Caenorhabditis elegans: one gene and its partner. The protein of the gene in region 1 purifies or fractionates together with the protein of each later gene. This does not show direct contact. Each region holds a gene or a part of one and is shown in the gene's direction. Other genes may lie near its edges.

Evidence for each region. Proteins that work in one complex are often made in the same cells at the same time.
Region 2: the proteins of B0041.1 (region 1) and Y41C4A.8 fractionate together in Caenorhabditis elegans (co-fractionation; one large-scale study listed by BioGRID). This does not show direct contact.

What each region holds. Positions count from the first base shown.
Region 1 is NC_003279.8:4,662,791-4,666,034, forward strand, and holds B0041.1 (SCP domain-containing protein), read left to right. Parts: upstream 1-1,717; 5' UTR 1,718-1,794; intron 1,795-1,838; 5' UTR 1,839-1,992; intron 1,993-2,044; 5' UTR 2,045-2,080; coding exon 2,081-2,218; intron 2,219-2,262; coding exon 2,263-2,363; intron 2,364-2,408; coding exon 2,409-2,520; 3' UTR 2,521-2,558; downstream 2,559-3,244.
Region 2 is NC_003281.10:11,706,469-11,710,674, reverse strand, and holds Y41C4A.8 (DUF3105 domain-containing protein), read left to right. Parts: upstream 1-1,852; 5' UTR 1,853-1,854; coding exon 1,855-2,153; intron 2,154-2,401; coding exon 2,402-2,609; intron 2,610-3,437; coding exon 3,438-3,632; 3' UTR 3,633-3,706; downstream 3,707-4,206. Other genes in the region: col-96 (Nematode cuticle collagen N-terminal domain-containing protein), read left to right, coding at 4,031-4,111, 4,174-4,206.

The sequences.
Region 1 (3,244 bases):
AGACTAGAAACTTTGAAATATTTTGATAAAACTTGAGCATTCAAAATTTTCTGAATTATCTAAACAGGTTTTACCAGTTTTCATAATGTTTCCAAAGCTATCGGAAACCTCCTTAAAACGTATGTAGTTTTAAAACGAGCATACGTCTAGTTTTTCAGAGATTTCTGGGAGACTTCGGCGGCTCACCGCACCCACTGCTGCAAATCAGAAAAAATGTGGAGCAAAATGGCTTTTGTTTAAATTCATGAAATTGAAAAATGCCTTCCGGTTATTTACTCGAATTAGAGAAACACGTTTTTCCGAACTAGAAATTTTTTTATAAGGTTTGATAAGTTTTGAGACCAAAATTCTGTCTTTTGTATGTATCCCCTTAAAGTCAAAAATATTGGAAGCCACATATTTATGTCTTCAAACTTTTTTTTTCAAACTAAACACTTTTTAGTTCTACAAACTAAAAAAATAGGAGTAGTGAATACTTCAGATTGTAAAATAAAATAAATTGTAGTATGAATTTCAGATATTTCAGTAAGTTTGTTTTGATAAAGAAGTGTCAAGAAACTAAAAAATTGAAGAATCAAGAAGCGTCCCGGTGAGGACGTCACTCTCACAAGAAGGGGAAAAATGAATGAATAACAATGTTTAAGTGTCCGGGTGGACGAAGGAGACGCGGTGTGTCCTCAATGCGCCCTGAGCATATAGAGAGAGATATAGAGAGAGAGAGACAGTGCTAGAGACACAGACAACTCGATAGAAAAAAGTGGTACATAACAAAAAAGGGCAGTAAGTAACAAACATCTGTCTCGATGATTGTTTCCCAGCACAAAATTGGACGTACCAAGTTTACACGAAGAGGATTCAAACCATTGTCCTCTGCATTTGTCCAACAACTGGTTGTTAAATTCCCACCTGCCGCCAATGAGAGGAGCTTACTGTTTATTTTGATAATTTAAACAATTCACATCACTTACAAAATTGTTTTATTTTTACTAGGAATTAGAATTGACTGAGTACATAGTAGATGCAAATGATTAAAAGTGTTCAAAATGAAATTTGAAAGTAAATGAGCCATTCATTTGTAAACGAGCAAAAGTGAAAACATTCGTAAATGAGCGTCAAAGGGATTGAGCCATCGTAAGGGATTGAGCGTTCAAGTAAATCAGCACGCTAGTAAATGAGTGTTTGCCCAGAAGGCATATGTAGATGTAGGCTGGTAACAAGTAGGCAGGTAGGCCGGCAGTAGGTATGAATAGAAATAATTTCAGATATTCTGGAAGTTAGCATAAAAAGGCACAGTGTGGGTGTTTTAGGCAGACAGGCGTGAGGGATGCCAACGGAATACATAGGTAGGCGAGTAGGCCGATACAAAAACATGGAGGTGGGCAACTAGCACGCAGTAGGCAGGAATAGCCATGATGTAGGCATGTAGGCAGCCAGTTGACGTATTAAGGCGTGAGTTAGGCTGGTATGGTGACAATAGTCATAGTAGCCAGAAAGTAGGCAGGGATACGCACACCCACCTCGTGCCTACATCTGTCTACTTCATACCTCGTACACGTAAAAAATTTATCTAATATTTTTCCAAGTTTTTCAATTTAAAAGATGCTGCGGTGAAATCAATTTGAAAATTCAAAACGTGACCTTTTGCAGTTCAAAAAGATAAGATCTTTGAATATTTGATATATAAACAGGGGGAAAGAGTAATTAAAATATTATTCAATCGAACAATGTTCACCAACATCTCTCTGATGTCTCCCATCGCCAAGATTGCCATCGGACTTCTTGTCATCCTCTGTGGTATTTGTATTCAATCTCCGCTTGTGTTCATCATCAAGTTTCAGCCCATTGCATTTCTACTGTTCCCATTGTGGAAAGTCGTTTCTCACTGATGATTCTGTGTTGTGAGGGCACAGAAAGAAATTATCCAGTTTTTCAACCTGTGGCGTGGATGAATAGCTCATGACCGAAGCATTGCCAATATGCATTGGATGATGAGTTAGTTCGAAAAAAGCATTTATAAATATATATATAGTTATTGTTCGAGCAGGTTTTCGATAAAGACCTCGAAACAAAGGCATTGCATATGACATGTCAGGATTGGAAGAATTTATGGAACTCTATGTCTGATGGGGCAGGTCTAAAGGCTGATCAATTGTTGAAAAAGTTCCATAGCAAAGGACAACCATTTGCTACTATGAGTGAGGCGACTAAATTAAAATTGGTAAACTTCAGCTACAGTTTCCAATATTATAACTCCATTTTTAGGTAGCAGAATGGTATTATTTCAATCCGGCTCAAACGAAAATTGCGTTTATTAAGAATCACTGTGGTGGTGAAAGAAAAGATATAGTTCTCCTCGGTCCTTGGTGAGTGACTCCAGATACCAGAATCATCTTTTTTTATTATTTCAGGGAAACATTCAAAGACAATCATTTTGTGTACGGAGAACCAGGAACCAAATGCCCAAGTGAATATCCAATTGACGACATGTGCGTTCCCAAAAGAACCAATGGAACTCTTTAAATGACTGAAATTGTATTTGAATGAAAGTTTTGAAGAAAGCGTTTTTGTTTTTGATTCTGGCAGATTCGAAATTGCATGTTACTTCATACTACACTGGGCCTCCATCATATTTAATCAGAGTTTGTCCAGTATGTGGAGCGTTTATATATTTTTCTACTTATAAGTTACACAAGTATACTGTATGAGATTTATTGTTTCAATTCTTTTTTCAGTAAGTTGAGTTATCATTTTGGAATGAACAGCTTTATAGATTCGCTGCTTTCAATTTTTAAGAAAAATTTGAATATTTTTTCGAAAATTGGTGGTTTGGGTTTATTGTAAGTTTTTTTTGAGCAAAATAACCCCCACGAACTTCTTTCTTTTTCCTCTTCTTCTTTTTCTTTCTTATTCTTTAATTGATAAATTAAAAATAAATTTATTTAAGATCAAAACAAGTTTTTTTTTAACATGAAAAAAAACGTTCATTTTCTGAAATTGACTCCCATATTGGGCGCATTGTATATCTCACGGTTTTCCAACCGTGAACCCCCACTCTTTATAAAGGCGCACATATTTTCGCATGTAACAAAAAATTGCCGTGGTAAGATCAAGTATCGTATTTTAGGCTTAAAATCGCTGGATTATTTTACTAAAATTCATAATACAGTTTGACAAAAAAAACTTCAAAGAAAAGGGAATAAATTAACTTCGGGATTTTTAATTAAAAATTATGGTGTGGGTGAAT
Region 2 (4,206 bases), on another chromosome or scaffold:
TCAAAAAATTTATCGCGGGAAATTTGAATTTTTGAGATTTTTTTTTCTTGCGAAATTTCGTTAGAATTTTAGGATCAAATTTAAAATAAAAGATGCAATCGCGCCCTCCTGGACACCAACAAAACGGGCCCAATTTCAAATTTTTATCCGGAAATTCCAATTTTTCACGGGGTTCTTGCCTCCCTCATTGAACTTTTCGCGCTCCATTGACAATCGCCTGCCGGACAACGCGTGGGAAAGTCGTGTACTCCACACGGACAAATATATTTAGTTTTACAATCGAGCCGCGGCGCGACACGCAACGCGCCGTAAATCTACCCCAGAAATGGCCGAGCCAAAATGGTCTAGTTCGGCAAACTCTTCCATTTCAATTCATGAGGGAAGCCAGAAATCCGTGTAAAAAACAGTGGAAAATTCAAATTTTTTTTAATTTCAAAAAACATTTATATACTTTTTTAAATTTTGAGAAAAAATTTAAAAAATATATTTTTCCAAATTTCCAAAAAAGGTTTCTGAACTGCCGTTGTTCCTTTTCCAATATTTGTTTATGTCAAATTCCGCGCGGAACACACGAGAAACACACGAGCGGAGAAAAGTCATTTTGCCTCCTTCTTCCCCCCAATCGGGTTGGAGGGTAAAATTATCGATTTTCTTGCATTTTTCATTTTTAGCGGTATTTTCACAACAGGAAAGTTATTATAATTTCTCAAATTATGCATTTTTCCTAATTTAAAATTTAAATTGTTTCATTTTGCATAAATTTTGTGATTTTATAAGCACTTTTTATCAGTCATTTGGCAATTTTTTTTGGACGACGTGGCAGTAATATTGCGAGATTAATTTTTTAAACAAAAAAAAATATTAGAAAAAAAAATTCCAAAAAATTCAATTTAAAAATAAAAATATGCTATTTTCTGGAATTTGAAGAGTTAAATTTTTTTTTCTTAAATATTTAGTGAGAAAACTCGAAATTTGTAAGTTTTATATAGATTCCCGACAACAAATAGCATTCAGTTTTCCATTTTATTTTATTTTTTGTGCCCCTTTGAAACTTCAATATCTCCTTGACTTTTGATTCTATTAAAAAGTTGTTAACTATTAAAGTGTAGAAAATTTAATTTTCTACATTTTATTAGTTGATACCTTTTTGATATCTTTTCTATTTGCGGAGTTATGGTACTTTAAAGCCACACACTCTACTAAACGCAGGCCATATTAAATCTTCAAACGCTCCTATCTTCCCAATCAGTGTTGCTATTTAAAAATGATCAACTATTAAAATATTGCAAATTTAATTTCCTACACTTTACTAATTGACAACTTTTTGATACCTGTTTTACGTACAGAGTTATGGATCTTTAAAGCTACACACTTTACTGAACGCACCCACCCTCCAGACATTCATATTAAATCTTTAAGCCCTACTATTTCCCCAATCAGTGTTGCTATTAAAAAATTGGTAACTAGTAAAGTATAGAAATTTTAATTTCCTACACTTTGCTAGTTGACAACTTTTTGATATCTGTTTTACCTACAGACTTATGGCACTTTAAAGCCACACACTCTATTGAAAGTAGCCCCTAATTAAAACTTCAAACCCTCCTATCTCCCCAATCAGTGTTGTTATTTAAAAATGATCAACTATCAAAATATTGCAAATTTAATTTCCTACACTTTACTAGTTGACAACTTTTTGATATATGTTTTACCTACAGACTTACAGCCCTTTAAAGCTACAAACTCTAACTTTTTGGGCTTTTCGAGCATTATTGCTATTTAAAAATTATACATTAATAAAATATTGCCAAAATTCAATTTTTTTCCTACATTCTCTTAGATAACAATTATTTCCAGATGAGGCTCCTCATAATCCTCTCCATTCTACCCCACATCACCTTTGGATACATGGGCGCAGTAATGGGTAAGCTGACAACTTGCGACGACGGAATAACCAATCTCATCAAGGATTGGGATTCTAAGGATTTCAGCGCATTTACATGTCTGAATTCTATTCATTATGCCGTGCAGAAGGATATCGATTCTGAGTTTTTCGACATGGTACAGCAAAATAGCTCTTACGACCCGAAAAAGGATCAGGTGATGCATAGATGTATGGATGAGACGATTGATTATGAGGATCGAATTCCTATTCGGTAGGTTCATAGGGAGACCCGGGAGATGTCGGACGCTAATCTGGACAATATCCTCTCGATGTTAATGCCCGACATCTAGCGAGTTTCGTTTTTATGCCGAAACCCCGGGGATGTCGGTTGCTAACATTATTCAGTTGGACGTATCTCTTCTCACAAAAGGAAGCGCCCGACATCCTACAGGTCATGTGGTTCCCCGAGAGATGTCGGGCGCTCATCATTGCCTGACTAATCACAAAGCAATTTTTCAGAGGAGACCACCGTCCAAACTGGGCCCGCTTCGGCGAATACCTGTACGTACCTGTTCAGCGGTGGCTTCATAACTTGGAGCACGGCTCAATTGTGCTCCTGTACCATCCGTGTGTCGACTTGGACGAGCTGAACAAGTTGAGGCAGCTGGTGACGTCATGTATCTATCGTCACGTTATTACGCCGTATATCAAGCTTACGGCAGAGAGGGTATGTTTTAAGTCTAAGCCTGAGACTAAGCCTAAACCCGAGCCAAAACCTAATGTAACCCAAACAGGGCTGTTGCAAAAAAATTTCGACCAAAAAAGTCAAAGTTCTCCCAAAAAAAAAAACCAAAAAATGACAAAAAAAATCGACTTTTTTTTATCATACCAGCTAAAAACGAACAATTTTAAAAGAACAATTTTTTAAGCCTAAGCCTAAGCCTAAGCCCAAGCCTAACAGGGCTGTTGCAAAAAATTTTGACCAAAAAACGAAAAGCAAAAATTCTAATTTCTCCAAAAAAACCAAAAAAAAAAAGACAAAAAAACTACAAAAAAATTCAATTTTTTTTCAGTATGCCAACTAAAAATAAGTTTTTGGAAACAATTTTTTTAAAGCCTAAGCCTCAGCCTGAGCCTAAGCCTCAGCCTGAGCCTAAGCCTCAGCCTGAGCCTAAGCCTAAACCTAGGCCTAAGCCTGAGCCTAAGCCTTAGCCTAAGCCAAAGCCTAAGCCTAAACCTAGGCCTAAGACTAAGCCTAAGCCTATACCTAAGCCTAAGATTCAGCCTGAGCCTAAGCCTAAACCTAGACCTAAGCCTGAGCCTAAGCCTTAGCCTAAGCCAAAGCCTAAGCCTAAACCTAGGCCTAAGACTAAGCCTAAGCCTATACCTAAGCCTAAGATTCAGCCTGAGCCTAAGCCTAAACCTAGACCTAAGCCTGAGCCTAAGCCTTAGCCTAAGCCAAAGCCTAAGCCTAAACCTAGGCCTAAGACTAAGCCTAAGCCTATACCTAAGCCTAAGCCTAAGCCCAATCTCAAGCCTAAACTCCTATTTTCAGCCACTGGCCCTTGTCGGATGGGGATCACGGCTGGAAATGAACTCGGTCGACGAGAAGAAAGTTGTTGAATTCATGAAAAAATACGGAAACCGTGCGCCAGAAGAGATTACTCGCGACGGTTTGTATGACGAGTACCTGCTCAAGGAGGCGAAGCCGGTCAGCGAGAATGACAAGACGATTTGTCCGAATTATTGATTGCTTTTTTTGTATGCAAAAATTGATGTGCCACCGGTTGATTTAATTTATTGTCTGTGATAAAGAATGATTTGAAATTTGAAGTTGTTAATTGAATTCGTCAAAGAAAGTAAAACCTCAAGGTCGCGAAAATTTCGCAACTTTTCTGTCTTTTTTCTCCGGCAGGCCGTTCCCAGAGGAAGCGCCACAACTAGGAAGTTATTACCTCCCGTCCCATTATCACAAGAACCAGATGATATTCGTTCAGTTCTTTCAATTACGACGTGTGGTGTCGGTGGGAAATTGTCAAGGACTCAATCACAAAACTTCCTCTTCCTCCTTTTGGGGAGGTGTTGTGGTTGTAAACAGATGGTATAAAAGGAGGTTTGAAACTGGTGGAATGGCATCTTCTGATCATCATGGACGAAATTACTAGAAGAAATGCCTATCGCTTCGTTGCCTACTCGGCTGTCACCTTCTCAGTGGTAGCGGTTTTCTCGGTAAGGATCTTAGAAATCTCGAATTAAATATATAGAATTTTCTGTAAGTTCCCTTCTTACAGCTCTGCATCACCCTGCCTATGGTCTACAACTAT